Linked DNA regions of Tamandua tetradactyla. The protein of the gene in region 1 purifies or fractionates together with the protein of each later gene. This does not show direct contact. Links are inferred from orthologs where the notes say so. Each region holds a gene or a part of one and is shown on either strand. Other genes may lie near its edges.

The links.
Region 2: the proteins of LMNA (region 1) and KPNA6 purify together in Homo sapiens (affinity purification with mass spectrometry; 4 studies listed by BioGRID and IntAct, with this or other methods). This does not show direct contact. The link is inferred for Tamandua tetradactyla from reciprocal best matches to the Homo sapiens genes LMNA and KPNA6.
Region 3: the proteins of LMNA (region 1) and H2AX purify together in Homo sapiens (affinity purification with mass spectrometry; 3 studies listed by BioGRID and IntAct, with this or other methods). This does not show direct contact. The link is inferred for Tamandua tetradactyla from reciprocal best matches to the Homo sapiens genes LMNA and H2AX.
Region 4: the proteins of LMNA (region 1) and PARP1 purify together in Homo sapiens (affinity purification with western blotting; 3 studies listed by BioGRID, with this or other methods). This does not show direct contact. The link is inferred for Tamandua tetradactyla from reciprocal best matches to the Homo sapiens genes LMNA and PARP1.

What each region holds. Positions count from the first base shown.
Region 1 is NC_135330.1:9,116,839-9,124,761, reverse strand, and holds the start of LMNA (lamin), read right to left. Parts: upstream 3,213-7,923; 5' UTR 3,054-3,212; intron 1-3,053.
Region 2 is NC_135328.1:193,718,106-193,726,538, forward strand, and holds the start of KPNA6 (importin subunit alpha-7), read right to left. Parts: upstream 3,160-8,433; 5' UTR 3,085-3,159; coding exon of another isoform or gene 3,066-3,084; intron 2,657-3,065; exon of another isoform or gene 2,577-2,656; intron 1-2,576. UniProt on the Homo sapiens protein: Functions in nuclear protein import as an adapter protein for nuclear receptor KPNB1. Binds specifically and directly to substrates containing either a simple or bipartite NLS motif.
Region 3 is NC_135334.1:21,661,943-21,668,645, forward strand, and holds H2AX (histone H2AX), read left to right. Parts: upstream 1-4,144; 5' UTR 4,145-4,240; coding exon 4,241-4,672; 3' UTR 4,673-5,181; intron 5,182-5,399; 3' UTR 5,400-5,778; downstream 5,779-6,703. Other genes in the region: DPAGT1 (UDP-N-acetylglucosamine--dolichyl-phosphate N-acetylglucosaminephosphotransferase), read left to right, coding at 143-289, 1,459-1,543, 1,868-2,056, 2,425-2,512, 2,678-2,833, 2,915-2,980; HMBS (porphobilinogen deaminase), read right to left, coding at 6,293-6,466, 6,560-6,646. UniProt on the Homo sapiens protein: Variant histone H2A which replaces conventional H2A in a subset of nucleosomes. Nucleosomes wrap and compact DNA into chromatin, limiting DNA accessibility to the cellular machineries which require DNA as a template.
Region 4 is NC_135333.1:20,186,600-20,194,703, forward strand, and holds the start of PARP1 (poly [ADP-ribose] polymerase 1), read left to right. Parts: upstream 1-4,891; 5' UTR 4,892-5,020; coding exon 5,021-5,140; intron 5,141-8,104. UniProt on the Homo sapiens protein: Poly-ADP-ribosyltransferase that mediates poly-ADP-ribosylation of proteins and plays a key role in DNA repair.

The DNA.
Region 1 (7,923 bases):
TCTGTTGTTTTATTTTTCTGTTGTCTTTTCATGTCTTTTTCTGAATTGATGCAAATGTCTGGGAAATTATCATGATGATGAATATGCAACTATATGATATTGTGAATTGCTGAGTGTATGTGTTGGGAATGTTTGTGCTTCTTGTAATTTTTTTTAATTAATAAAAAATTTAAAAAAAGAAAAGAAAGAACTGGAGGTGCTGGGGAGGTAATAAGAGTGGGGAGCTGGGATAGGAATCCAGGGACTAACCTCTGACCTCCAGTCTTCAGGGTAGGCGAGGACATGGGGAGCAGGGCAGGGGGCAGTTAGGGCCAGGAGATTGTTGCTAAAAAGCGCCTTGGAAGCCATTTGGTCCCAGCCACTCCATCTGCAGTGGTGAGCCGGTGTCCACATCTCTCCCCAGCTCTGTACATTTCGGTGATGTCAAGTTGGTAGCTTGAAATCAGCCACAGTGAAAGAATTTACACCAAGGAAATCGGCAAATGCGACACCCCAGGGCTTTTTTTGCTTTGGCCTTCAGTAAACGTTCGCAGGCACACCGCTGCCCTACGCTCTTCTGTCCCTACTTTACAGAAGAGGAAACTAAGGTCTGAAGACATGGAGTGACCTGTTCAGGGTCACATGGCAGTTTTCTTCATTCAATCAATCATTTGCTTAGCAATTTTGAGGGCCTCCTCTGTGCGGGGCACTGGAGAACACATCCCCTGTACTGGGGGAGCGTGCAGTCTGGTGTACATGCAGACGACCTAAACAAGCTCAGGCAGCTCTGTGGGCTAAGCACAAACACAAAGGAAAGTACTGGGGCCCACAGCAGACTCGGGGAGCTCTGAGGCCCATCAGTGTGGTCAGAAAGGCCTCCTGGGGGACATGACTCCTAAACTCACATCTGGAGGATGAGTGGGAGATAGCCAAGATGAGTTGGGGAGAGAAGATTCAAGGCAGAGGGAATAATGTGTGCGAAGGCCTGGGTTCTGCAGAGGGCCTGCCAGCCCCAGGGGATCCCCGTATCCTTTTTTGCACACTCAAAGTCCTACTGTGCCTGAGTGGTGACTGAGGGGAGGGGTTTACAGACTTAGAAATTCCCTCTGAGCCATCAATCAAAAACTCATGACAGTGACACGGCACCATTACTGAGTTCCTGCTGTGTATGAAGGCCCCAGACCAGGGGCTAGAGAGGGCACAGTATCCACCAAGCACCATGCAGACAGCACCCACTTGGAGATCAGGTGAGGGTAAGGGTAAAAGCTGGGTGTGGAGGGTGGGGGATGTGGAAAAGCAGAGGGAGGAGGTGAATATTTAGCAGGGGAGGCGGGTGGAGGGAACATAAGGATAAGCAGGCTCAGCTTCCAAACAACAAACATCTATTGAGCACCTACTGTGTGCCAGGCTCTGTGCCAGGTGCTGGGAATACAGTGGACCAGCTCCAGTCCCTGTCCTCAGGGAGCTCCCAGTATACTAGGAGAAACAGAAATGTAAAAGGCACTTACAATATAGTGTGATGAAAGGCGAGTGACACCCAAAAAGGACCACGGGGGATCTCCCAGGGAAAGTGACATCTAAGTTAAGTCCTGCAAGATGACCAAGCTTCAGGTAGGTGAAAAGTGAGGGAAGAGCAGATGGAAGGGAAAACACAGGAAAAGGCTGGATAATGAGAACACGGTGTGTTCAAAGACCTGAAAGAAGGTCCCTGTGGCCGGAGAAGAGGATTGGGGGCAGGGGCGGTGTCAGCGGCAGAGAGGAGGTGAGAAATGAGGCTGGACCGGCTGGAATTTTGTTTTGAATCTAATGGCAATAGGAGCTGTTGTAGGGCTTTAGGTAGGAGACTGCAGGGTTTTAGGTGGGGATTGGAGGGTGCTGCAGGAAGGGGCAAGAGTGCAGGCAGGGAGACCAGTTAGAGGCTACTGCAGGTAAGAGACGATGGTGGCTGCAGCACAGCGGTAGCGGTGGAGGTGGGAAGTCGGTGGTCTGGGGGAGTATTCTGAGCTGTAGCTGTGAGTACGTGGTGGACTGGATGGGAGGGAGGCAGGGCAAAGGGACGGATCATAGATGGTGCCAGATTTCTGACGTGAGCAACCAGGTGGACAGTGGTGTCATTTACCAGAAGCTGGGGGCACTGGCAGGGGAGTGGGTTTGGGCTGCTGGGGGCAGAGTCAAGACTTAAAAACTCAGAGTTCCTGGCTCTTCGGCCAGCACCACCTTCTTCCCTGTTAGGGCTACCGGGAAAAGGTATAGAGAATGTGGGATAAAGGAAGGGGGACGTGGGGATGGGGTAGAGCAAGAGGAAAAGGAAATTAAAAAAAGTAACATTGGCTAACCCAGGCCCAGACATCATGCTGTGTGCCCTATATGTCCACTTCGGTTCTTACCACATCACCAGCCGAAATGACCCACCTCTAACTTTCCTGCCCTATATCCTGCTTCGCTCTTCTCACCAGTGGAGATCATTACTAGGAATTACATTATTTACTTGTTTACTAGCTGCCTCTCCCCTCCCACAGAATATCAACCCTTTGTTCTTGTTCTCTGGTGGATCCCCAGTGCCTAAGGATATCTGACATGGTAGGTGTTCAATGTAAACTTGCTGAATGAAAAGTTAAAATCCTTAGTGGGTAGATACTATTAACAGTGGCCCAGGTCACAGCTAATAAGTAGGGAGGTTGGGACTCAAATGACCATTTTCTTAGCCCCTGGGCTAAGAAGGGACACAGGAGGGCAGCTGGAGGGGACTCAGGATAGCCAAGGGAGCTGGTCAAACCCATGGGGATGCCCAGGTCTCAGCCACATGGGTTGTCTCCTGAATCAGAAACAAACCGGTAGCCTTTGTTTGGTCCCCCGACTGTGGGATGCCCTACCGGAAGCATAGAACGTGGGAGAAACCAGGGATGGTACCTGAGCAGGGAGGGCAGGGCACCAGGGCCCTAGTGTCAGAGCCCGGACAGGAGCCAGTGGTTGGCCAGTAGCGCCACCTGGCGGCAAACACGTGTCTCCTCCATCTGTCCCCTGCTCCCCAGGCAAGCTGACACGCCACCCCACCGGGAATCCTCCCTGAGTACCTCGGGTGCTGGACCTCCAGACATTCTTCTCATTCTCTCCCTTTGAATGAATCTCACTCATTCTTCAAGGACTCCTTCAAATCTGCTTCCTCCAGGAAGTCTCCCCAAGCTTCTCCCAGCTCCAGTGATCACTCCCTTCTTGGTGGAATGTTAAGCAAAGACAGCATCTCCAGCCTCCCGGAGCTGTGATGAGAATTAGATAAGATCAGGTCTGTAAGGGCCAAGGAGAAAGAGTGGCACCAAACAGACACTCAGGAAACAGCGGTCCTTTTCCACTCCTTTCTCTGACTTCCTCTTCCCTTTCCTGAAAAGGAAGCCTGATCAAACAGAAGACACAAGGAAGTCACAGGGCCTGAGCTCTCTAGGCCTCAATCTCCTCTGTAAAATGAAGCCATTAGATAACTGATGAAGCCATTCATTCACTCATTCATTCAACTTCTATTCCAGCTCTGATATTCCATATAGGGATTATGTCTTTTATACCCATCAGTTCATCTGTGAACCCCTTAAAAGCAGTGACAGGCTGTGTCTTATTCAATATCCCCTGATGACACTTAGCACAGTGCCTGGCACAGGGAGGGTACTAGAAAAATCCCTCCTCAACAACCTACCAAGGTATGTTTACTACTTCCCCTTCCCTGCCCCCAGAGGGCAACCAGCCCCGACTGGCACCAGGTACCTCCCCTTCCCTCGCTCAGCCAGAAACCAGAGCTGGCGCCACTGGGTGAGGAATCTGGGGACCAACTGTCACAGCTCCAGTATCACCTGCCTCCTGGACGCCTGGGTCCAGCGCTGAGTCCCAGAGGGGCCCTGTTAACCAGCTGTCCTGGGGGACCCAGGCTCCACTCCAGCCCCTCTAAGCTACTGTCCCTGGGGAAATCAGACCGTGCAGGGGATCTGTAGGGGGAGGGCTGAGGTGGCCCCAGGGAAGGAGGAGGTGTGTTTGTCCAGGTTCAAACCTCAAACTGGGTCCTCGAGGCCCTTGGAGATCAAGTCCACAGTGACAGAAGGAGCCACGGTGACCGACTCTTCCCTCTAATCCCCAGTCCCACAGACCATTTCTGCCCCCACTTTTAATCCTGTTTGTCCATGTTTTCTGAGTTATGTAGGCTACTTTCTGTGGCTCATGGAAGGCAGGGATCAAGATCTTTTATGTAGTCTACAGAATTTTGCCCAATATATTCTTACATTCTCATTGATTATTAATTATTTAATGAGTTGAGCATGGTCCAGTAACGGAGAGGAAACTGGCTCTCAGCAGGAAGGATGATGGTTAGATAGCAGGGTGGACTTCCCACAAAGGAGAGATATTAAGAAAAGAAAAATGGGAACCCCATAAGGCATAGAAGAAGAGGCTCAGCTAAGTAAGATGGGGAAGAAGGCATCCCGGTAGGAATAGGGAGATGAATGAGATGACCCCTTTAAGGACCTGTCTGCTTGGTAGGGCAGCCTTGGTGGTGGCTTCGTGTGCCTCCCTCTCTCCCCAGGGACTCTGAGCATAGGATGGGAGAGCGGCAGGCGTTAGGTGTGTGCCCCCATCCCGGGTACTTGGTGTCTGGACAGTGACAACTGGTGCATGGTTTCCTCCAAGAGAATGGACGCAACTCCACATAGAGACACCCCTCCCCCACGTCTGGGTCATACACACCACACCTGTCTTCCAGGCTCCACGTGAAACCTGCACCACTCCACTCGCAACTTTTGAGAGTTTATGCCCTGCAACCAGGCTATCACACACCCAGACACACACTTGTACAGACACAATGCACACTCAGGCTACTCATCTGAGTCCTTTGTTCCCCAGACCTGAGACAGGAGCCTGGCCTGTGTGTGTGTGTGTGTGTGTGTGTGTTTGTGTGTATGCGTGTGTGTCTGTGAGTGTTAGAGAGACAGAGACACAGTTTGCATTCCAGTACTCCATAGAAATTATTTTTGGAATTATCTGCTGTTTGGGATGATCTTATTTTGGCAAGTCTAGACCTAGAACTGACTTCAAGTAACTCATAGTGGGTGAGCATCTCTTCCAGTGTCTGGCACATATTAGGAGCTCAATAGGAATTGGTTGACCGACTGAATGACTGAATGAATGAATGTATGCAACTTAACTAACAGGGACCACAACTCGGCTAAAATCAACTTCGAGGTAAGAACAACCAGGCAAGGAAACTAACACTGACTGAACGCCTAGGATGAGCCAGGCAGTGTGCTAGGGACTGGGCTTATTATTTCCATTTGGAGGTGAGGAAATTGAGGCTGAGCATTAAATGACTGCTCAAGAACCAGAAGCCTCCTCCCCCTCACACCTGAGACTTCACACATGCAATTACACTCAATCTATCCTTTTGGAGTCTCTGCTCTAGTCGGGGCTGTGTGCTGGGCACTGGGGAGCCAGAATAGGGGGACAATGACAAAGACGAGAGACACAGTCTTCCCCTCCAAGGTCCTGGAAGGGGGAGATACGGCACCTTCACACCTTTCTAGTCATAAGGAAAGCCGTTTCCAAGCAAATTGTTTAAGTAAGGCTTTCTACCCTCATCAGCATAACTATAGATTGGGCAAGCAGGAGTAGGAAGACAAAGGAGTACCCATGGACAGGAACCCAGTGTGGGCGCACAAATGTGTTGTTTGGAGAGAACGAGGTCTGGTGAACAAAGGAGGCCATCAGCCCCAGGGAGCATGGGAGGGACCCCTCAAAGTTCCACCCTGCGAGCCCCACTCGTAAAGGTGTCCACTCACGGGCTCCCCTATGGTCTGGGCACTGTGGTACTCCCTGCTGTGCACAACCCCCCAAATACACACATATACAATCTGCAGGCACACACGTGATCCCAAGCACAGACTCCCATGTGTGCACATCCATGCCACCTACTTAAGTGCCCTCACACACGCACACCTGCCCTCCAGGGTGCCAGGTCCACGTCTACCTCTCTCCTGCAATGAAGGATGTTTGTCTGGAGTCACATTGGGACTCTGAGGGTGGACACGTGGTGCCTGGACACACCCAAGGGGCTGAGTCATCCTTGCTGTTGGATCAGTAATGTGGGTCCAGGAGGGACCCCCGCCTCCATCACCCAGCCCCTCAGCCCTTCCCTATTCCCATTCAGCAGCTGTCCCCACCTCACTCACACACACTTGTTTCTGTCCTTTGTTTTCCTCGCTGGGCAAATCCCCAAGGCTTCTTTGGTCATTAACCTCCTGCTTTAATTAGCTTAGCAGGGAGGAAAGTGGAGGCAGGGCAAACTCAGGGTGGGGGTCTGGAGTGGGAGACTCCTTTCGGTGGGGACAAGAAGGCTCAAATCAGCTGGTGGCCCCATAAAGACACCTGGTACAACTCTGCTATTTCTATTAGTGTGAAAAACAGTCACCTGGGCCTCAGAGTGGGAACTTTTCCTAGTGAAAGCCCCAAATCCCCAGTACCGCAGTTCCCCCAATCCAGGTCCCTGGGACAGACAGAGAGGGGACAAACTTCAGGAAGAGCCCACTCCCCGAGTTCCTGTCGCTACAAATCCTCCTCTACCACTGTCACCCAGTGGGGTGGCATCCGTTGTTGTTCATCTTGTCAATAATCTTATGTTAAATCCCTGAGCTGGGGGCACACCTCCCCAACCCGGGGGATAAGGATTAATTTAGGGAACTCTGCTGTGCAGCTCAGCTCTCAAGGCCTCCTACTGCCAGATCTATGAGGTCATCTCATTCATTCCCCTGCCTCCAAACAGGGCTTTACTTCACAAACCCGTTCAGATTTTCGGTTTCCAAGACACTCCAGAAAAGGACACCTCACCACTGTAGCTCATCCACCCGCTCTTATACTCCTCTTTTGGGAAGTCCTTCTTAAAGTCTGACTTCAGACCGTCAAGCTGCAGTACAAACTCTTTTCTTGGGAAAGACGTAGGCATAAAAAGGGTGACAAAAGAAATGCCGAAGATATGAGGTAGAAGGAGAAAAGACTGCATTATGTTCCAACTTCCTCAAACTATCTCTAAAAGTACGCAATCACCCAGTTTAAGCTTTAAAAACTTATTTTCACTTTCACCAGATTTCCAGAGTCAAAGGGGCTGAATTACTGGAGAGAGATGCATGAAGAAAAGTGGAATGACAGAAACGGCTAAAGGACTGAGCACTCCCAAGCTGTATTCGTGGCCCAGGATGAAGGAAGCCTGGGTCCCCAGTCCACCCCCAGCCTCTCCTCCTTCCGTGGCACCCAAAGCTCAAGCCCCTCACCCAAAACTGTTAAGCCCTGCCATGCCTGCGTCCCCCTTCTCCCCTCTCTCTCACCCCCTTCGTCCTCCTCACTCCATTGCGCCACGGCCCTCCTGACCCTCTTCCACCCACCAGAGGGCCGAGAAAGAACTCACCTACCTCCAAGTCGATGCCTCCGAGACTGGAGACGGGGTGGGGGGTGGGGGTGGCTCGCCGCTTGGGGACGAGAGGATCGTGTCCTTTGCCAGGGGGGTCCAGCCCTCCAGCCCGGCACCCCATTTTGGCCCGCACCGCGCGCAGAGCCGGGTCCCCCGCACCCACCCCCAGCCCGTCATCGCGGCTGCGGGCTTTGTCTGCTCGGCCGAGAGCCGCTCCCCGCGCCCGGGAGCCGGGATCGACCCCGGGAGAGCGCGAGGGGCGGGGAGCGGAGGGAGCGCGCGGCCCGGAGGCCGGGAGTGGGGGGTGGGGGCGCCGCAGCGACCCAGCCCGGACCGCTCCCCGCCCCTCCCCCCTCATTACCATAAAAAAGAGGGACCCAGGACCTGCGGGGCTGGGGAAGGAGACCGCACGGCGGAGGGCGGGCGCTGCATTAACCTTTTACAGACCCTCAACGCCTCCGTACCCTGCCCCCTCTCCCCGCGCCGGCCTCTTGAAAAAAATTAGGGACCTC
Region 2 (8,433 bases), on another chromosome or scaffold:
TTTGCATGCAACTGTGTTTCATTTTTCCTGTCATAATATTCCACTGTGTGACTATATTATAATTTATCCCTTTTTGTTTTGGTCTCTTCCCCCCCGCCCCGTTTTTTCCTATTACAAACCTAGTAGGAAGCTGTTGAGCACTTAGTGGTAGATAGAAAGAGTTTCTAAATTATAATTTTCACTTGAAAGCTCAAATGTTATTGATAACTGACACTTCATATACTTTTGAGAAAATGTAATGCAATGTAAAATGACTTACATTCATTCATGACAAAACTCTGTAATTTAGTGTACAATTTAATCCCACAAGTGATTTTCCTCCAGACATACTTTCAAGGGTTGACTCTGTACTGTTTCATCAAGGACATTCTTAAGTGAACCTGTGTTTGTTTTTTTAAAGAGTGAGTGATGAGGGTTGATGAATGTGTGCAAATATCAACACAGGGAAAATAGAAACCTGGACTGTAGTCTACAACAGTCTGCAGATCACACTTTGAAAAGCACTGCTCTAAGGTACAAATATAAGAATGAAGTGCTGGGTTGGTAAATGGTGAACTTGACCAGATAGTTTCAAGTTGCCTTCCACTGTTACCCATTTACACTAGCTTAGCAATACATCATTTCCACTGATACATATTCTGACCAATACTTGGAATTATCAGACTTTAGTCAACCTACCGGCTGTAATAAGGATTTCACTGAGATACTGATTTTCCCAGATTGCTAATGAGGTTAAATTTCATGTTTATTGGCCATGTATGTTTTACTTTCTGTGAAAAAAATGCCTGTTTCTATATTCTGAATATTTTTTTTCTGAATAGGCGGTCCCTTTCTCATCACTTTATAGTCCTTTAGTATTCTACTTATTAATCATTTGTTGGTTATTTGTGTTACAGGATCTTCTAACACTCTATGGCTTGTCTTTTCACTTTTTTTATGGCGTCCTTTAGCAAAAAAGTTCTTAATTTTAAGGTTAATATATCTTTTCTTTTAGTTAAGATATATTATAGATACATATATTATAGATATATAACTATGTATGTATGTATGCAGGTTCTGTTTAATAAATCCTTTCAGTCACAAGGTCAGAAAGATACCCTCCTCATGACCTCTAGAAATTTTTTTTTAATTTTCTATTTTTATTGTTATAAATGAAATGCCATAAATTTGCCATTTTTACCATTTTTAAGGGCATGATTCAGTGGCATTACATTTACAGTGTTCTGTGACTATCACCAACATCCATCACCTAAAACAGAAACTCTGTGCTTATTAAGCTATAACTCCCCATCCCCCCCAAGTCCCTAGTAACCTTTCATCTACTTTGTCCCTATGAATTTGCTTATTCTAGATATTTCATAGGAGGAATCATGTAATATTTATCTTTGTGTCTAGCTTATTTTACTTAACATGTTTTCAAGGTTTATACATATTGTCGCATTTACCTGAACTTCATTCCTTTTATGGCTGAATAATATTCCGTTGTATGTATATACCACATTTTGTTTATCCATTCATCTGTTAATGGACACTTGCAAAGATTCCATCTTTTCTCTATGGTGAATAATGTTGCTATGAATACTGGTGTACAAATAACTGTTTGAGTCCTTGCTTCAAACATTTTGGGATATATACCTAGAAATGGGATTACTGGGTTATATGATAATTCTATGCTCAACTTCCTGAGGATTTGAAAGAGTGCTGCACCATTCAATAATTCTGCCAGTAAAGCACAAGTGTTCCTATTTCTCTGCATCTTCACTAACACCTATTTTCTGTTTTGTTTTTTTTTTTGTTATTTAATAATGGCCATTCTAGTGGATATGAAATGGTATCTCACTGTGGGTTTGATTTGCATTTTGCTAAAGATGATTCTTAAAGGCTCCCAAGGTTGAGTATCATGGGCAGACTGAAAGGGGATTAAAAGTTGGGAAGAAGTGTGGCTGGATATATAGTGCAGCCTCCAGAGAAGCTTAAGTGAAGTCTATCAGCCTTCCACCTGCTTAATGCATTCAGGCCTGGCTCTACCACATTTCATCAAATAATAATAAGGGAAGCTCTCAGGCCTGTAAGACCTGCTTTTATTCTCTGCTTGTGTGACCTATGGCCTTGGTCTATTATAAAGATTTTGTTTGTGGCACTGCTCAAACAGCTCTCTTCACCTTCGTCTCTTCTCTACCCAATAACTATCCTCACCCAGTCCACCTTCACTCCTTCTAATCACTGGATCTGAGATCTGAAAAGCCTTATATTTTGAGAGGCAGGCCACAGAGGAAACAGAACTTCCGAGTCTGATGGATTTAGGTATAATTTTGGCTTTGCAACTTACAGTGATTTCAACATTTTTGCAACGTACCTCCAATTAAATATGACTTGGAATCCCAATATTAATTTTAAAATGTAAAGTAAAGTGGCTTTTGTGTTGGAAGTGTGCGTAGATGGGACTGAAGCCTTACAAACTTGGCTTTTCCCTTATTAACAACTCTTATCCTCTACATTTCTAACCTTAAACAATAACTAAATTTATTGCAAAAGGGATGTAAAAGTTTTATAGGAACACAGAAAGAGAAACTTACTCTGTGCCCTTTTTCTGGAGAGTTAGTGGTAATTGTGATGACAGAGTTTAAAAGAAAATCTTCCAAAGATAAAATGTGGACTGAGTTTTCAAGCAGGAGTTCAACGTGGAGGTGGGAAGCAAGGGCAGAAAGAATAGAACAAGAATGAATGCACATAAATGGGGCAGGGGTAAGTAATCTATGAGAGAATTTGATTTAAGAAAAATGAAAATGGAGGTTGAGATGGAGAGCTTAACCCTGGAGTCAGGGATAGAGAACAGATCAAACTTCAGGGAAGGTTCCTCTGGGCTTTCTGGAAAGCATTCTAGGGACTCAGTAGCAGCAGTAGGCTCTTAGAATGTGCAAGTGTCACATTTTTACTTACTGCAGAAAGTTCTAGGAGATGGCAATAGCCTGCCTTTGGGGTCCCTGATTATCCCTGGGCCTGAAGGCTCACAGGTACAGGGCAGATTTCTAAAAGAAGCACTGTGGACTGCTGTTCCCCATTACCTGATAAATGATTTTTCATGACTCTGAGCCTTGGCTTTCCCCCAAGGGTTGTCCCTCCTTCAAGCAGCACTGACAGTGAAGCTTGAAGGGGAAACCAGCTACTGTGTTTCTTTAGTTACCATGGTAACAAGAAACTATCACAAATATTTGTTTATGACTTCACTGGAGAAGTCAGACAGGGGAGATCAGATTGGAAGGAGAAAGGAACACAAGCACATCTACAATCAGCAACCAAAGGAAGGCTGGCTTGCTCTCAGGGACCCAGCAGACAAAGGGGCTTTTTCCATCAATCACTTTCTTACCTACTGGAGCTGGGTCAAGAAAACACACAATAACATAATAAATAACCTTTACTACATCTAACTGCCTCAGACTGATTTTTTTCTTCAGTCAATGAACTCTCTCAAAGTGAACAGGTCCCTCAAGTTATATCTCTATTTCTAGGAAATAAATATGTAACGATATCATGCATTTTCTAAGTTTTTAGAATGGAGGACCAGTCATAATTATACAAAACAGGTTTGGGTGCTAACTGATAGATGAAGAAACAGGCTCAGGTCACACACTAACTGGATAACTGCAGGGCTATAATCACTGGTATGTTTAAAATTTTGAGATTCATAAAATTTTTAAATTATGCCCAATTTCACAGAAATAGGCATACTACATATAGCCAGCTATCCTGTGTGTGGGATGTGAACAATGTCATAACACCTTCAAGTGCACAAATGTGTGCTTAAAGCACCCTGGACAGCTTAGCTGCTGGCTCCAGGATTTTTCAAACCGAAGTCTAATGTACCTGGTCTATATTTCAGAAAGTTTCCAAGTGATGGACTCTATGTGCATGAATATATTTCAATAAAAAAATATATATATATTTTTTACATGGGCAGGCACCGGGAATCGAACCCGGGTCCTCTGGCATGGCAGGCAAGCGTTCTTGCCTGCTGAGCCACAGTGGCCCGCCCTAAAAATAATTTTTTAAAAGTTCAAAAAAAAAAAAAGTTACCAAGTAATCAACTGAAAGCATCTACCTAGAAGAGCCCCCAAAAGCTAAACACAGAGTTAGTGGAACCAGCATTCATTTTCTAGCTAATGACATGACAGTCTTCAAAGGAGAAGATGGTCCCTTAAACATCATAAAGTTATCAACCTTTTCAAATTATGATTCTTGTCCTGCTGCTAAAGCTGAGCTGGCTGTCCTCTTTGCAAAGGAAGACTTTCTGATGAAACATTATTGCCACTGCCCTGGCACAGAGAATGAGCTAAGACTTTAAATCTGGCAGGCTAACTCTTGGGCATATGCTATATTTAGGAAGTTTTATAGCTCATCATGATGCATTAAGGTTATTTAATAGTACTGGGAGGACAGATTAAGGATATAAACTGATATCTCCCAACATCTGGGAGATATCTTCCTTCAAGAGTATAAGTATGAAAAAACCTGCCTCCTCCCAGGGGGAAATGGCTTTTTCAGCTGGCCCCTTCTTTAATTTTTCACCAGGAATTCTCAAGTAGAAAAATCATCAAAAGATTCTCAGTTAAAATGCTAAGACCCTTTGCCAGTTAACTAAAATGAAAGGGATAAGAGTGCCCTAAGGGATGATGGCAGAATAGGGAGGTCAGGATTCAGTTCACCCTCCAGGGAAGCTAGCAAATAGCCAGGAACTGACTGAAACAACTGCTTGCGGGGCTCTGGAGACCCGAAGAACACCGTACACTATCCAGCAAAGAGCAGAAGGAAGAGACTGATAAACTGTGGTAAAAAGCTGTGAGTAGATCTCTCTATGTTGCAGAGGCTGGGATCTACCCACCACTGGCACAAAGGGCTACCTTAGGGAGCCACTCCCTGGCTGGAAATAGAAGCCCTCTATCCCATGAATGCGAGAGGGAGGGAAGGACAGGGCCAGGCAATGTCTGCAGCTTTTGATTAGTGAATTCAGAACACTCAATTCTTACCCAGAACAGAAAGGGGTGGGGGGAGCGGGGAACAGGCACTGACTCCAGCTTTTGATTAGTGAATTCAAAGTGAATTCTAGCTCCTGAGAAAATACAGCTACAGGTTTGTTTGTTTTTTTAATATCAAAAATATATTTACTTCAATATGTCTAAAATATTATTGTTTTAATATGTGATCAATTTAAAAATTATTCTTTTCTTTTTGGTACTAAGTCTTCATAATTCATTGTGTATTTTACACCTATATACATCTCAATTTAGACTAGTCACAGTTCAAGTGCTCAATTGCCATATCTGACTTGTGGCTACTATACTGGACAGAACAGGTCCAGAGTTACTTTACTTGCACCCTCCTTCTCATCCAATCTGTCACTCCCATCAGGTGCAGAGACAGTGTCAGGGACTTGAGGGGTGGGCCAGAAAAGTTCAGGGGCCTTACTGTTGTCATGAAGCCTTCATGAGCCTACCAGGAAAAATAAAATTACTATTTTTCTGAACCATCCTCATCTATTCCAGTATCCCTCTTTTTGTACCTCCTGGAATCAAGCAAAAGTGCTCTCAAACAACTTGGCTCATACTTGATTATAGCCTCTAGTCTACTGTGCCTTACAGTCAGTTTGTTTTAAACTCCCCACCTAGATTACAAGTGTTTTAATGGCAGGTCCAACACCTTGTCATTTCTCCTTGTAAGTGTGCCAACATTAGGATTCTGCTTAGGAGGTGTCAACTGAGCCTTTTCCTTCTCCACAATACTCTTACCATGCTCCCTTCTTCATCCAAGATTTCAGTATCTCTTTCCTTGACTAATACAGCATTCTCCAAAGTAGTAAAACTGCTTCTCATCTTCTTCTCTTCCCATCTTTTACTCACTGATGCTGAATTAATAACAGCTACAGTTTTAACCTGCCCAGGGCAGAAATCAACTGGCAGCCTCCATTTCAACCCCACTCCAAGCAGGGGAGGAAGTGGGACTGGTTGAGACACAGTAGCTTCTCTGGTCAGTTGGGGACAGGTTTCTAAAGGGCAGCTCTTCCCCAAGAAAAGGGGAGAAGTGGGCAAGGGCCAGGGCAGTTAGCAGCAGTAAGAGACTTCAGCTTCCAGGGCCTGGGATCTGGGCAACAGTTTCCAACCCTCCCTGGCCAAAGCCCAAAGAGGCTGGCAACTTCTGTTTCAACCACACCCCCAGCAGAGGCAATCGGCTGAGAATTAAAGGCACAGTACCATTTTAGGACTATGGGGAACAGGTGGCTGAAGAGTGCCAGCTGCTGGGCACACCAGGGAAGTACATATCAGAAAGATATAGAGTAGACTGACATCCTTCTGGGTCTTCCCCGCACACCCCCAGAGTACTTTGGAACTATCTACACCACTTCTGTGGGTCCTGGGCCTGTTTTGACAGAGAAAAACGGACAGGGACCCTCCTCCCAGAAAAAGCCCTCCTGGTAAAAGCAACTAGAAATAATGAAAACAGTGTTAAAAACATATAAAGGCAAATAAAAAAACATATGAGGCAAATAAAAAACAAACAGAGGGCAGGCCACAATGGCTCAATAGGAGAGTTCTTGCCTGCCATGCTGGAGACCCGGGTTTGATGCCTGGTGCCTGCCCATGCAAACAACAACAAAAACAGAATAGATCAACATTCCCAGAGGAGAACAAGGGAAAGGAAGCTTTCTCCCGGGAGTGAAACAGTTGCACAAATATTACAATCTCAAAAATTATACCATATATCCAGAGTAAGAATCAGATGAATAAGAGCTGAAAAAATCTGATCAAACACAAACTATTCTAAAGGTCTATAACAAGTTGAACCAGTATCAAAGAAGAGCTATAGCACAAAGACAACAAGAAAATCCTTGGCAGGAGAGAGAGAAACTGATCTTCAGAATATACTCATCAAGTGAATCAGTTGCCTAAGCACCAGCAAAAAATTACAAACCATACTATGAAACAGGAAAATATGGCCCAGTCAAAAGAACAAACTAAAACTTCAGATGAGATACAGGAATTGAAACAACTAATTAATGACATTCAAACAAATCTCCTATATCAATTCAAGGAGATGGAGAAAAATATGGCAAAAGAGATAAAGGATATAAAGACAATGCTAGGTGAGGATAAAAAGAATTTGAAAACATGCAAAAAAAAAAAAAAAAACCCACAAAACAAGCAAGCAAAAAATCCCAGTACATATGGGAATGAAAGGCACAATAGAAGAGGTAAAAAATACACTGGAGGCAAACAATAGCAGATGTAAAGAAGCAGAAGCAATTATCAGTGAACTAGAGGATAAGACATCCACAATTTTACAGACAAAAGATAAGAAAGGGGAAAAAATGGAAAAAATAGAGACAGGTCTCAAGGAATTGAATGAACAGCACAAAACACACAAACATATGTGTCATGAGTATCCCAGAAGGAGAACAGAGGAAAAAGCGGGCAAAAAGAATATCTGAGGAAATCCTGGTAGAAAAATTCCAACTTTTATGAAAGAAATTAACATATAGGTCTAAGAAGCGCAATGTATTCTAAATATAATAAATCCGAATAAACCTACTCCAAGTCACTAATCAGAATGCCAAATGCCTAAGAAAGAGAAAATTCTGAAAGCAGCAAGAAAAAAGCAATCCATCACATGCAAGGGATCTTCAATAAGACTAAATACCAGTTTATCATCAGAAACTATGGAGGCAAAAAAAACAGTAGTATGATATATTTAAGGTACTGAGAGAGAAAAACTGCCAGCCAATAACTTTTTATCCAGCAAATAATGTCCTTCAAAAATGAGGGAGAGTTTAAAACAGTCACAGATAAACAAAAATTGAGAGAGAATGTTAATGAGAGACCTGCCCTACAATAAGTACTAAAGGAAGTGCTACAGGATGAAAGGAAAAGGCAGGAGAGGTTTGGAAGAAAAGTGTAGAAATGAAGGCTATCAATAAGGGTAACTAAAAGGGTAAAAAAAAAAAAAGACAAAAATAAGATATGACATATAAAACCCAAAGGATAAAATGGTTGAAGAAAGTACTGCCTTTACAATGAATGTTGGTGGATTAACCTCCACAATCAAAAGACAGAGACAGGCAGAATGGATAAAAAATTACGATCCATCTATATGCTGTCTATATGAGAATCACTTTAGATCCAAATACACAAATAGGATAGTGAAAGGTTGGAAACAGATATTCCACACAAACAGTAACCAGAAAAGAACAGAGGTAGTTTTACTAATATTAGACAAAATAGACTAAGAGTGTCCTAGGATATAGAGCCCATGGCCTTAGCAGATTAGGAAGGTTTGGTAATGTGCCAAACTCTTTGTAGATATAATCTCCACTGTACAACAATCCTGAGAAGTAGGCATTATCTCCATTTTAAGCAATTAATTAAATAAACCTCAGTAAATCAT
Region 3 (6,703 bases), on another chromosome or scaffold:
TGTTCCTGTTCCACTCCTGTGTCTTCTTCTGCCTTCTGTCCCTCATCTTGTCCACTCTCCTTACCATGCCCCTCAGAAGAATATTCTTCAATCCACTTTCCATAGGTGGCACTAGTTCTTTTCATACTGTCTTTTCTACCAGGCATTCTGTACTATGTCTACATGGGGCTGCTGGCAGTGTTCTGTACCAATGCCATCAATATTCTGGCAGGAATCAATGGGCTAGAGGCTGGCCAGTCACTAGTCATTTCTGCTTCCATCATTGTCTTCAACCTGGTAGAGCTGGGAGGTAGGTGGCTTGGCAGAAGAATGAGAAAGAAGTCTGAGTGTTTGGTGAGTTGCCTGATATATGACTTTGGGTAACTCAGAAGCAATATGTGATTAATTATAGAAGAAAAAAGAAGCTATTTGCTTTGCAAATAATAACTAATATTGATTGTAAGAGAAATAGCAGCCCTGTCATCTGTCACTGCATTGATACTAATAGTTAGGCCGTGGTATTCTTCTGTTGAACATAAACAATTTCATAGAACCCCCAAATCAGACAAGCTCACATTGTGATTGTACTGATGCAAGACAAAGACCAGACCCCTCTATAATCATATCTGAGAACAGGCAGAACCACAGGAACACTGTGCAAACCACAAAAATGACCAAACATCCTCCTCTCCTGGCTAACGTGAGTGACTGCAGCTTCTTTCCAATAATAGTGCAGTTCCTCCTACTTCTTAGATAAAAACTATTAAGATGCTCACCCATAGAATTATTCCTGCTTTCTGATAGCTCTCAGTTCAGAGAAAAACTCTGCTTCTTTGCATCCTTCCCCAAATTACCCAAAACAAATCCTTTAACAAGCTCTCCTGACACCCTCTTACTGAGGTGCTGTGTCATTCCCTTTACAGCATGGATTTCCACAGTCTTCCTGCTGCAACAAGTTAACAACCCAACTTTGACTATAGATGTGCTTCTGGTGGTCTTTGGGCATTGGGTATCAACAAGCGCTTATTAAAGTTAACCACTTTTCATTTTGTGTTTTCTTTATTATCATTTTTTAAAAAAATTTTATTTAAAGCACTTTTCAAACATCTCATTTAAACCTCATAAAAACTCTATGGAGCAGGTGTTATCACCTCCATTTTAGAGATGAGGAAACAGGCTTAGAGAAGTTGAATGTATCATGATCAAGGCCACACAGCAAGGAAAGAAGGCTCATATTCAAACCCAGGTCTGAAAGTCCTAAACCAAATTTAAAACAGTAATTAGTTTAGGAAGGCTCTGTGAAAGGGGTGGTATATCCAGAATTGCTAGGGTGACATGAGAGGGTTAGTGAGTACTTGAATGTGATTTGGGAGAGGTTGATGCTGCTTGGAACAGAACTTAGAGATAGGTTGGACAGACAGAAATAGAACCAAGTAGCTATTAACTTTCCCCCTCTTCCTTTTTTCTTTGCTCCCAAAGGTGACTGTCGGGATGATCATGTCTTTTCCCTCTACTTCATGATACCTTTTTTTTTCACCACCCTGGGACTGCTCTACCATAACTGGTAAGTAGGCTAAGGGAGAGAACTGTGTGAATGTGTGGTCCTGATCATGGCCCACCTCTTGATGGAGAGGCTAAACCCGTGTTGAGTATCTTCTGGGTCCTCAATTGTTAGAATTCGGAAACTGCTCTCTGCCCTGCAATATTTGGGGCAAGAACCCTCAGGTATTGATGAATTCAGGTCTCTGTGTGCTACAAAGTTGCTGGAAGAACTGGAGTCTCCTGAGTCAAAACTAGGGTCAGGATTACCTACTGGCCAGTGTGAGAGGTGAGAGAAAGGGTTGGTAATGCTTCTTGCCATTGGCTTAGATACCCCCACCCCCCACAGGTACCCATCACAGGTGTTTGTGGGAGATACCTTCTGTTACTTTGCTGGCATGACCTTTGCCGTGGTGGGCATCTTGGGACACTTCAGCAAGACCATGCTACTGTTCTTCATGCCCCAGGTGTTCAACTTCCTCTACTCACTGCCTCAGCTCCTGCACATCATCCCCTGCCCTCGCCACCGTATACCCAGGTAGCCGCCTTGGGTACCAGGGTAGAAAAGGGTAGCCATTGAAGGGACATCAAAATCTTTTCACTTGGGATGTCTAAAGCCAGCCTATACATTTGCTTGCAAAGAGAGTGAGTGTGCCCAAAGAAGGGCTAACTCTTTCCATGTGGGTAGCCCTTTTGTAATCTACAAAGCAATTTACTTACATAAACTCATTTAAAATTCAGAGTAGCTCTGATCACACAGTAGTAAGCAGCAGAGCCAGAAATAGATCTCATATTGTTTAATTCCACAGTCACTTCTCTTCCTATTGATTAACCACTGGGAGGAGAGTTCTTTAAGTAATGTCACAGTCACATAAAGCTCTCTTCTCACCCCACCCCACCCCACAGACTCAATACCAAAACAGGCAAACTGGAGATGAGCTATTCCAAGTTCAAGACCAAGAGCCTCTCTTTCTTGGGCACCTTTATTCTAAAGGTAACAGAGTGACAAGGAGGTAAGGCCTTAGGCAGCCATCCTGAACTCGGGGCATGGGAACCCTGGGGCTGCCTTAGATCAAAGGGAATGTGGAAGCAGTAGGTAGATCCACATTCCTGAAGCATAGGTTTTAGCTGCAGTTCTCTCCACCTCTGGCCCCTCCAGGTAGCAGAGAGCCTCCGGCTATTGACAGTGCGGCAGAATGAGAATGAGGATGGTGCCTTCACCGAGTGCAACAACATGACCCTCATCAATTTGCTGCTCAAAATCTTTGGACCCATGTATGAGCGAAACCTCACATTGCTCTTGCTGCTGCTGCAGGTGAGGTTGAGGATGGGGTCTCCACCTCCTTCTTGTCTCACTTTCTCTGTGGTTCTCACTTGAATCCTTTTCTTCTTACAGATCCTGGGCAGTGTTGTCACCTTCTCCATTCGGTACCAGCTTGTCCGACTCTTCTATGATGTCTGAGTCCCCTGATCATTGCTCTCTACCTCGAAATCTCCAGGGTTCCCGACTCAGGCTGAGCTTTTTCTGAACCAAGACTGTCTCCCAGTGCAGGCCTCTCCCACACTTCATTCTTCCAGAATTTGTTCTCAGCTTTTCCCGTCCCTGATGATGCCCTCTTAACGACTATTGGTTGGGCTTTGCCTATGGCTTTCTTCAACTTGCCATTCTCTTCCTCTTCATCCTGTTTCTGCCCTGAGGTAGGATATGGCAGCTTTTATGCAGTTATCCACAACTCAACTCTCAGAGTCCTGACAGCCAAGGAAAATGCCAGGCCTTGGGATAGAACCTGGGCTGGGGACAGAGACACAGACCTGAAGGTGACTTGACATTTGACTACAAATTAAGTGTTCTGATTAGTAAGAGCAGACCAGGAGCCAGGTGCTCCCAATGTTGACAATAAAGTGATGTCTTTTTATTGTTCCTGAAGGTATTTTTCCTGTATGGGCATTTTAGGGTAGGATGGAAGGGTTAGTGAGGGCATCCCCAAAAGGATACCTATTTCTCTGCTCCATCCTTTTCATTACACCGGACCCCTTCTACCAAGAAGTGAACAGAAAGAATTGAGAACAGATAGCCCATGTTGAATAAATATTGAAATAATGATATTTTGGGTGGCGTTGAGGACCAGAAGATTGGAGTTATCTAATTTCAGGCATAGGTTCATACTTTTAGGTGACTCATTTCTTCCCTTTTTCATTCGCCCTTTGCCCGATAGGAGGACAGAATGAGAAGTAACCAGACCTGGAAGGGTAAGCAGCGGTGGTCTTAGTGTTCACTCCATTTCTTTAAAAATCCTAGGCCAGCCCGGATTTCCCAGAGGCTTTTTAGGCGGTTTTAAACTCCACCCACTTTGTCTTCCGGTCTGGTCTCCCACTGTAGCGTTTAAATCGCGCGCGCTTCACATGGATTGGCTACATCTGGGGAGGTTGGGCGTCTGCGGTGCGCCTCTCCTCCTCGCCTTTTCCCCCGGGCTAAGGGTTTTCAAATTCGACCAATCGGCAGGCGCTCTTCCTCCTTCGAGAAGCGTCATCAAAGGGTTAACAGTAGCCAATCGGAGGCAGGTATTAGAGAAGAGAGCCAATCAGGAAGGTGCGGGGGTGTGTCCTAGGGGCTATAAAAGTGGCCCCACGGCGCGTGCGACGGCAGTTGGACTGCGGCTGGCTGCTGTGATTTTCAGTGTTGAGAAGCTTTTTCGTCTTTGCTTATCCTACCTCGCGCGGCATGTCGGGGCGCGGCAAGACCGGCGGTAAGGCCCGCGCTAAGGCCAAGTCGCGTTCATCGCGCGCGGGCCTCCAGTTTCCTGTGGGCCGCGTTCATCGGCTGCTGCGGAAGGGTCACTACGCGGAGCGTGTGGGCGCCGGCGCTCCGGTGTACCTGGCCGCGGTGCTCGAGTACCTGACCGCTGAGATCCTAGAGCTGGCGGGCAACGCGGCCCGCGACAACAAGAAGACGCGGATCATCCCTCGCCACCTGCAACTCGCCATCCGCAACGACGAGGAGCTCAACAAGCTGCTGGGTGGCGTGACGATCGCCCAGGGAGGCGTCCTGCCCAACATTCAGGCCGTCCTGCTGCCCAAGAAGACAAGCGCCACCGTTGGGCCTAAGGCGCCTGCGGGCGGCAAGAAGGCCACGCAGGCCTCTCAGGAGTACTGAGGGAGGCCCCGCCGGAGTCGGGCCGCCCCCGGCCCTCCCCATGCCACCACAAAGGCCCTTTTAAGGGCCACCACAGCCCTCACGGAAAGAGCTGAGCGGCGGCCCCCGAGCCGTAACCTTCATCCCCGGCCCTTCACCCCCACACCCCCCGGCCTCTCCTCGCCGCGCGTTTGCTTCCGGCCTCTGCAGCCGCGGGCCTTGCAGGCCTGCGTTTCTATTTCACCTACGGGGAGGTTGGAAAGACAGGCTGTCCTCTGTGGTAGAAGCACCTGGCCTGCCGGCGCAGCTCTGCTCCCACACCGCTTTCGGTCTCTCCAGTGGCCTTGGCGTGGGGGCGCGGCCCCTGCTCCAGAGCTAGTTACCCATCCGCTCCTATCAATTGAGCCGCGGGGTGGCGGTGAGACGGGATCCCCTCCGAGGAGACCGGCCTCCCGCCCTGCAATTGCTGCTGCCAGGCGGCTGAGGGTGCAGCCCATGCCCAGGGGTCGGACGGCCCTGCGGCCCTCAAGGTGAGTTGGTGCAGAGAGCGGCCGGCAGAGGCCCTCACCGCCGCGGCAGAGTGGTCGTCTGTTACCTTTCCAGCTTGGTGCTTAGCCCAGGACTTTTCAGACGTGACTGTTGATTTCCAGGCTTTGACGGGAGAGGGACTGGTCACTTAATTTGCTTGGGTGCCCTTTTGCTGCCAAGTCACGGGCTTTCCCATCTATTCCTCCATCTTTATTCATAGGCTTGTCTGCTACCGCCTGGGCTGTGATACGAATGTTTCGCCAGAGATGACTGCCTCTCGGAAAGAAGCTTGGGGGAGGGGCAGAGGCCTCCAGCTGGGAGTCACAGCTGACTGTGTGGACAGTTCTGTGTAGGTGCCTGAAACCGACTGGTGGCCAGGCCTGTGGGGTCTACCCTCTCCACCTTTATTTCCCTTCCAGCAACTCAATTCAGCAATGCAAGCACCTCCTAGATAACCAGCACAAGTCAGTTCATCCCTGTCTGGACTGAGCCTCTGTTGGCTTCTGAACTGGAATTTTGCAGATAACCCATCCAAGACTAGTACCTTAGTTATTGGGAAATTTCAGATGGACTAATTTTATTAAATGTTTCTTTTTTAATGAGGAGTCTCTTCATTTTGCAAGAGTTGTAGGATTGATTTTAGAGTGTGTATAGTGGGGGATTACCTAAATAAGGGAGTTCATTAACTAGAGAAGGAGCAAGCCACAGTATTTTTGGATTACAGTTCTGTGTTTCTTGGGAGAGAATTCCTTCTGTTTGAAATGAGAGCTACTGAAGTCGAAAGGTTGTTCCAGGATTACTTTGGGTAGTGGCCTGGCCTCTGAAATAAGGAGTAAAGGGTTTTGTGTTTGCTATTTACTTATTTTAACTACCCCACTGGGAAAGAGCAGAAAGAAAACAATCTTCAGAACTGCTTTATTAGTAGAATTAGTTACATTCAAAGGCTATGACCTTTCTCTAAAGAGATGCAGCCCCCACCTACTGAGGAGGCCAGGCAAAGTCACCAAGGCGAGGCAGGCCCCTGGAAGTCCATGATCCTGGGGTATAATCACCTCAGTCAGCATCAAGAGTGGGGCACTGTGGCAACCCAGGTACCTGTGCCCCACAGACCTGTTAGTGGGCATCGTTAAGTTGCCGTGCAACATCCAAGATGCTCTTGGCCCCTTTGTTCAGCAACAAGTTGGCCAGGCTGATGCCCAGGTTCTCAGCAGCCAGCTGGGCTCCTCGTGGAATAGACCGGGCAGTTATGCCCACCAGCTGTGGGTCATCCTCAGGGCCCTCCTCCTGCTGGGGGAGGGAAGGAGGTGGGATTGAGTGAGAATGAAATGGGAGAGTACCTGCAGCCTTTTGTTTACCACCCTCCCCCTCCCAGCTTGGTACCTGGGCAGGGACATGGATGGTGGCCTGCATGGTCTCCTGGATGCTATCTGAGCCATCCAGGCTCCAGACTCCTCCAGTCAGGTACAGCTAGGAAAGAATATGGCTGCCTCAGCATATTCTGATCTGATAGGAGCTGTTAAGGAT
Region 4 (8,104 bases), on another chromosome or scaffold:
AAAAAGAAAAAGCTTGGAACTGTAACCCATACCAAACTTTAAAATCCGTCCTATAAACACTTCTTAAAACGTACTTGGGAATTTATTGCTTTTTTTGGTACGTGTGTTATATTTCACAATAAAAAAAAGTAAAAAAAAAAATAAATAGTGTCAACTCAGGGAGTGGGGTGCAGTAGATGATGAAAAGAAACTTTCATCTTTTCTTCTGCGCACTTTTGTGTTTTCTAAATCTGTGCTTCCCAATACAAAAATAATGAGATGCATGTACTTTTAAATTTTCTATTAGCCACATGAAAACATTTAAAAAAATAGGTGAAATTCATTTTAATTATTCACTGTATGTAAGCCAATATATTCAAAATATTATCATTTCAAATTGGGGTCATATAAACAAATTATGAGATTTTTACATTCTTTTTTCTATACTCCATCTTTGAAGTCCAGTGTGCACTGTAAATGTACAGCACATCTCATTCAAACTATCACACTTCACGTGCTCAGTAGCCGCATGTAACTAGTGGCTCCTATGTTGGACAACCAAGTCTCAAGCTTTTACAAAAAAAGGATCTATTTGTGTATCCCATGTGAAATACGAAAACTCAATGTAGATAAAACAAAAGTAAATAACATTATCATCCCTACAAGCAAATAAAAACATATAGCACAGCCACATTATGAAATTGCATGCGTTTTTAAAAAGGAATGAAATGTCCTCTACATTCTGACAGTAATAGATAACTCTGGGATATTAAGGAACAAACTTCTTAGAGGGCAATATGTACATAATGTGATCTCAAAGTCTGTATGTGTGTATAATGTTTAGTGAAAGAATCCGACTGGATATAGGACAAATTATAAACACTGATCCCCTCTGGGGTTTGGGGATGGGGAGGGGTTGGGGAAGGAAGGTTTTCACTCTTTATTCTATTTATGCCTGTGCTGTTTGATTTTTTTGGCTTGTTTTCGTTTGTTTGTTTAGTTTTATAAGAGGAAAATCACAATAAGTACCTTTGAGTGCAGTGTCTCGGCCCTGTCTCTGCCTCTCTCTCTCTCTCTCACACACACACACACACACACACACACACACACACACACATCCCTGCACACACACACACCACCAACAACAGGGTTTGAGCTCTGGGATTCTGTGAGGTGCCTTGGGAGGTGCCAAGAGAATGTGATAGTCATGGGCACACATTTCAAGGCTCCTGCTCAGCCCCCACGTCACACCTCATCAGAAACTGGAGTTTCTTTTGAGCTGGACAAAAACTGAGAGCAATAGACTCCTAAGAAATTCAGAAAAAATTCAGGATGGTTGGAAAACAGGGACTTAATAAAACTTTTACCAGCGACCAACTAAATGCCAGGCGTTGAGCTGGCACAAGAAGAAAGGTTGAACCATCCCGCCTTAGTCAAGGAAGGGCTTAACCCTCCTCAGGATCAGACCCCCGCACAACCAGCTCAAGTACTAGGAAGGGGCAAAGCAGCCACGGGGCTCAGCTCTGAGGACAAGAAGGCTGGAGAGCGTGATTTAAGGGGAGGCTCTGGAAACTGAGGGGGAAAAAGGCAGAGGCTCAGCCTCTCATCTTGCCTCTAATACTGAGAGACTTTAACACTGGGAGAGATCATTTAATCTCTCCATATTTCCATTTTCTTATTTGAAAATGAAAACAGTGCGTGAAAAGGATGTAATTTAAAACATAAATGTTGCTAGTGAGCTCAGAGTGCTCTGACTGATTCTGTCCCAAAAGGAAAAAAGAGGGAAAGGGAAAGGGGAGGGGATGGGTGGGAAGGGGAGGTGGAGGGAGGAGAGGATTAGATAAACACTGAAGCAGGCATGTGCACCAATATAATCAAAGCTCCTGTCCCATAGAAGCCTGGAATTGGAAACATAGGACCTAGGTTCAAGTTTGGTTCTTTCATTTTGTAGATTTAATTTGAAGAGTATTCATTCAAATATTAATACTAAATGTGTACTATCAGCAGGAACTAGATGTAGAGGATGTAGAGATCAGCAGGTAGTTTCTGCTCTCATGTGCTCACCGCCTGGCACGCTGCTACAGGTTGGTGGGAGGAACTCCAGAGCAGATGTCCCAACAGCAGCCTTGGCAGGACCAAGGAGGAGGGAGACAGCTCTGCTGGGAGGGGCGGCGGGGTAGATAGTGGCAGGTGAACCAGATCTTGAGAGACAAATCAGAGCTGCCAAGTGAAGGGAAAGGGAACAGGTATTTTATCAAGACAGAAAAAACATGTGCAAAGTTAAGGAGATGTGGAAGAGTTCATGTGAATGGAAAGTAATTTGGTGTGACTGGAGTGCTGAGAGATGAGGGTGGAAAGGATACTGAGGGGAGTTATAAGCTGTTCTGGTTTGCTAGCTGCTGGAATGCAATATACCAGAATCAGAATGGCTTTCAAAAAGGGGAATTTAATAAGTTGCTGGTTTACAGTTCTAAGGCCGAGAAAATGTCCCAATTAAAACAAGTCCATAGAAATGTCCAATCTAAGGTACCCAGGGAAAGATACCTTGGTCAGGAAGGCCAATGAAGTTCAGGGTTTCTTTCTCAAGTGGAAAGGTACATGGCGAGCACAGTCAGAGTTTCTCTCTCATCTGGAATCTTTTTCTCCAAAATGTTTCCTCTTTTATAGGACTCTAGTAAACCAATCAAGACCCACCCAAATGGGTGGAGACATGTCGTCACCTAATCCAGTTTAACAACCACTCTTGACTAAATCACATCATCCGGGGAGATGATCCAATCACAGTTTCAAACATACAGTATTGAACAGGGATTACTCTACTTTGATGAAATGGGATTTTGATTAAAACATGGCTTTTCTAGGGGGCACACATCCTTTCAAACCAGCACATAAGCCATCACAAGGAATTTAGTCTTTTAAGCTTTAGGCCAGGATTGGCAAATTCAAATCGCCTAGGGTACCAGGCTGATAAAGGAAAGAAGGGAAGAAGCCCAGGCGTAAGACACATACTGCTATCCTCTCCACCTGCTTTTGGTTTTCCTACTCTTGATAGAGATATAAGTACCAAAAAAATTTTTAACTTGAGAGGCAGTGTGGTAGTTAGATTCAGTTGTCAACTTGGCCAGGTGAAAGCACCTAGTTCTGTTGCTGTGGACATGAGCCAATTGTAGGTGAATCTCATCTGTTGCTAATTACATCCGCAGTCGGCTAGGAGGCGTGTCTGCTGCAATGAGTGACGTTTAACTTAATTGGCTTGTGCTTAAATGAGAGAACGCAATGTAGCACAGTCTAGCAGCTTGGCATTCCTCATCTCAGCACTTGCAGCTCAGCTCAGGCCCTTGGGGATGGAGAAAGAAATCACCCTGGGCAAAGTTGTTGGAACCCAGGGGCCTGGAGAGAAGACCAGCAGAGACCATCCTGTGCCTTCCACGTAAGAAAGAACCTCAGTGGAAAGTTAGCTGCCTTTCCTCTGAAGAACCAACAAAATAAATCCCCTTTTATTAAAAGCCAATCCGTCTCTGGCGTGTTGCATTCCGGCAGCTAGCAAACTAGAACAGGCAGTAAAGGAGGCAGCAAAGTGTTGGAAAAGTGCACTAGGGCACAGATTCTTAACCTTGTTTGCATGTGTGCACACTCAGGACATTTTGGAGGTCCAGTGAAGGCTACTAACTTCTTCTCAGAATCAACTGTGGGTAGGGAATCACCTTAATGTAATGGTAGCCTCCAGACATACGATCAGGCACGCTATCCCAGGAGTCACAAAACAGAAACCCCACAGTTAAATTAAAATGCTTGAATTACTGTTTATTAAATCAGTTTAAAACAGTTTAAATCAAAGGGGACCAGATGGGGTGCATAACACAGATGAGATTCGGTACAGGCTAGGCAGAAGGACCATACACTTTCTCTTTCCCTCCCTCCCATGTCAGCCTGCCCGGGCTGATGGTGGGGTTCCAATCACCAGAGCTGAGGGTGTCTGGTCACAGGTGTAACACTGCATTTAGCTTGCTGAACAGACATAGGTATTATGTGTATTTCTTGAGCAGAGCTCGTGGGAGCCAGAAAAGGAAGAGAACGCTACTGGGTGACCATTTAGGGACAGCCTTGCTGTCGACCCAGAAGCACAATGCACGTCTTTTTAATTTGGTCGCTAGGTAAAAATATAGTCCTACATTAAATAAGAAGATCTAGAGCTAGCCGGCCTAATAACCACGGCAATAATATTCTGAGCTTAATAATATTTTGATTTATCTCGAACTGTAAAGTGATACGAAGTATTTGTGGTGACTATTGGTGAGTCAAATCACGGATTCTGCTAATATTCCTAGGATTTGTATTCATGCTTCAAAATTCATAGTAGAGGAAACGCTAAGTTTCAGTTAGGACCCTGTTCCAGCGGTCTGCGGACTCCAAGTGAGTCCCACGGGCCAGGGAGGGTCAACCTCGCAGCTCACTGGCCAGCCCTCGGCAGGTGAGCCGCGTTCCCGAGCAGGCGGCTCTCCGAAAAGAGCGGGAACGCAGAAAGATGGCTGGGGAGTTTAAATAGCGGTGCAACAGCAACTACGCCTGCCTAGCAACTAAACGGTTAAAGGGGTAGCAATTTACCCTTCAGAGGGAGACTAAACGGCCGCCAGAGCCCCCAAAGCCCGTAAACCCTTCGCCGAGAAGGGCCCGCCCTCGAGGCCGGCCGCGGGCACACGCGCTGGGGGCGTTCCCGCGGCCAGGCGTCAGCAATCTATCCCGGAGCAGCGCCCTCGGACGCCTGTTGGAGATGGTGGGCGGGCGCGCGGGCGCCGGGGGCGTTCCCGCGGCCAGGCATCAACAATCTATCCCGGAGCGGCGCGCTCGGACGCCAGCAGGGGCTGGTGGGCGGGCGCGCGGGCGCCAAGGGCGGTCCCGTGGCCAGGCGTGAGCAATCTATCCCGGAGCGGCGCATTCCGACGCCTGCAGGAGCTGGGGGGGCTGTCGTCCGCGTGGCGGGCGAGGAGGAGGCCCCTGTGGTCTTGCGGTCCCGAGGCGCTGCGGCGGCCCAGGGAGGAGGATGGCGGAGGCCTCGGACAAGCTTTACCGAGTCGAGTACGCCAAGAGCGGGCGCGCCTCCTGCAAGAAATGCGGCGAAAGTATCCCCAAGGATTCGCTCCGGATGGCCATAATGGTGCAGGTGCGGGAAGGGCCCGGAGGCCTCGGTTGCTCACTGGGTGGCGCGGGCCGCTTTGTGCCGAGCGGGGACCAGGGCTGCCTCAGGCTCCCCGCGCGCGACCTCCGCAGCGGCCCCTGCAGCGGCCCCGCCTTGTGAGATTTAGGGAAGGGCTTGGGGGGGAAGGAGGGCGGGGGCTCTCGGAATGGGCCGGGTGGGCCCGACCGCTTGGACCCCTCCAGCTGGGCCGCGGTCGCCGCTGCAGTCACTGTGCACTCGGTGGCCTGCCCGTGGGCCCCCCCCCCGGAAGGCTCTGCAGAAAAAACTCGGAAAATAGGATCTGTAACTGGTGTTTTTTGCATTTTAAAAAGGAGCAGGGCGGGCCACGGTGGCTCAGTGGCAGGGTTGTCGCCTGCCATGCCGAAGACCCGGATTCGATTCCTGGTGCCTGCCCATGAAAAAAAAAAAAAGATAACAATAAGGAGCAGCTTTAATTCTTTTTTGGGGGTGTTAGAGGAGTTCTTGTTATTTTATCATCACTCTCCTTGGGGGGAAAGGCGTGCAGCATCTTTTGACGCTAGTCTGATTTTGATCTGCCTTGTGCTGGAAGGTTTTTGACCTACATTGGTGGTGACTACTGGCTTGTGGGGATTTTTTTAATAACCTATTTTTTACCTATATTTAAAAACACCCACTCACCCTCAATTTAAAGAAGTTTATGCAAAACTATATAAAAGTCGGTGTCGTTTCTACATAGTGCATTCCCTTTTTGCCTCATTTATGCTTTGAAAAAAGCATTTTCCCCAAACTTCCCAGACTGTCCTTTTGATGCCTTGACAGCCATCTGATTTGAGTCGAGTGGGGCGGGAAATTCCTTCTCTGGGCTTTCTGACAGAGTGGGGAACCCCGTCCCATCCTCCCTGAGACTTCTGAGATGACGATTTGGGGGTGTGCTTTGAGGCAGTGTGTCTGAAGTCTCCTGTTCAGTGGAGGGGCCTTCCTGCCTCCTCCGTCCTGCAGTTTGCTGGTGTCTGTGTGTAATTCTCACCTGCCCAGATCCTCCCCGTCTCCCATATAATGCTGTTTGTTACTCAGCATCAAGGTACCTCTTGATTTTCTCTTTCTATAATGAGACAGGAAAGTGTTCCAAGAATGATCAAATAGCCCTCCCTGAATTTTCTAAAGTGCCGGTACTTAAGATTATCTGGTTATCTTGGTATCCTCAGGGCATACCTAGCTCAGTACCTGGAAGCTGTGCTTTGCATTCAGTACACATTTGTTGAGCACCTATTATACACAGTTTCATTCCAGGCACTGTTTTTGGTACTAGGGACACAGTGCAAACTCTGCCTTTGGGACTTTGCCGTTAGTTAAAGGGAATACAGCTGGTAAATAAGCATTACTGCTGTGCAGGGGTGTATGCCAGCTGATAAAAGCTGGCAACCCCAAGGGGTCCCAACTAATGTGAGCACTTGATTAGGAGTCATTTATTCATGGAAGTGGGGAGTGGTAAAGTGAGGACTGAGAAGAATATGGGCCTATCATTGGAAAACCAGAATTTACCACTAAAGGGCTTTGAACTTTATTGCAAATATATGGGGAGTTTGCTTTTGTGAAGTTCCCTCTCCTACTGCCTGGGTTCTTGGCCAAGGTTCTATGAAATGGTGGGTGGAACTCAAGAAGTCCATGAATTTTTCAGCTCTGTTTTCACTAAACTCTAGATAAAGGTATTCTTTTCTGCAGTTATGAATATAAGCAGCAAAGCAAAGACATATAAATAGTACCAGTGATTTTTGTCACCAGTAGTAATTACAGATATTATCATTTTATAGTTGTTGGAAATCTTCAAAATATCATTTACTCTCATTCCTACTTCAAATTTACTGTAATTATCAGACAGGTACAAGTTTGTTATATAATGCTTTAGAGATCATGTGTTACTGTATCTCCAAAATACTTCTTAAATGATTTGATGATTATCTCAGTATAATTGCTTACCCTTGTGAGCCTCTGCATTATATTTATTGTGCTTTGAAGATGTTACTGCCACAAACGGATGCCCATAGTCTTCGCCAGACAACCAGAGATCCCTGTTGTGAGAAGGACAGAGAGAATATCTGCCTACAGCCAGTGTGTTGGCAGCAAGCCCAAAATGTTGAGGAAGAGGAGGGTTGGCTCTGAAGGAGGGAGTCCTGAAAGGCTTCTCTGAGGAAGGTAACTTGAGTTACCTGTTTCAGTTAAGCTGTAACATTCTGGGCCCTCATTCCAGATATTTATAAGGTGAAAGAAATTCCCTCTTATAAGTAAATGTAGGGGGCGGGCCACATTGGCTCAGCAGGCAGAGTTCTCGCCTGCCATGCTAGAGATCCGTGTTTGATTCCCCGTGCCAGCCCATGCAAAAAAACAAATAAATAAATAGATGTAGGGCGGTGCACCGGTGGGCTCAATGACAGAATTCTTACCTGCTGTGGAGTTGGATTCCCAGAGCCTGCCCGTGCTAAAAGAAAATAGAAGTGAATGTAGTTTTTCTGTAAAGGTATTTGGAGGTGGGTAGAGATGTTTCCTTTGTGGATTTGCTTCTTAATTCAGAATTTAAAGTTAGTCTTTCTGCTGGCTAAGCTGGTTAAAAGCCAGAAAGAAAGAAGTCATTCTTCTCTGTGCTTGCATATAAATACCTTCTCTTACATTTGTATGGGAGGATTGTTGGCTGCTTATCAAATATCTGATACTTTGTTGCCTGAAGGAAGGGAACTGGGTCTTCCAGCCTGGTGACCTTGGGGGACTGTGATGAGTTCTTCCTCTGTGAGAGTTCTCCAAGGTATGCTGGCTGTCCCTACTTTATAGGGAAAGATGCAGGTGGTTATGGCCCCTCGCCTCTGTAACTGGTACCAGGAAAATGTTTACTTAGTAGATGTTGCTAAGTAAGTGATTGAAAACTCTGCAGCTTTCCCAAGCCACCTCTACCAGGTAGATGGAGGCCGTGATCTT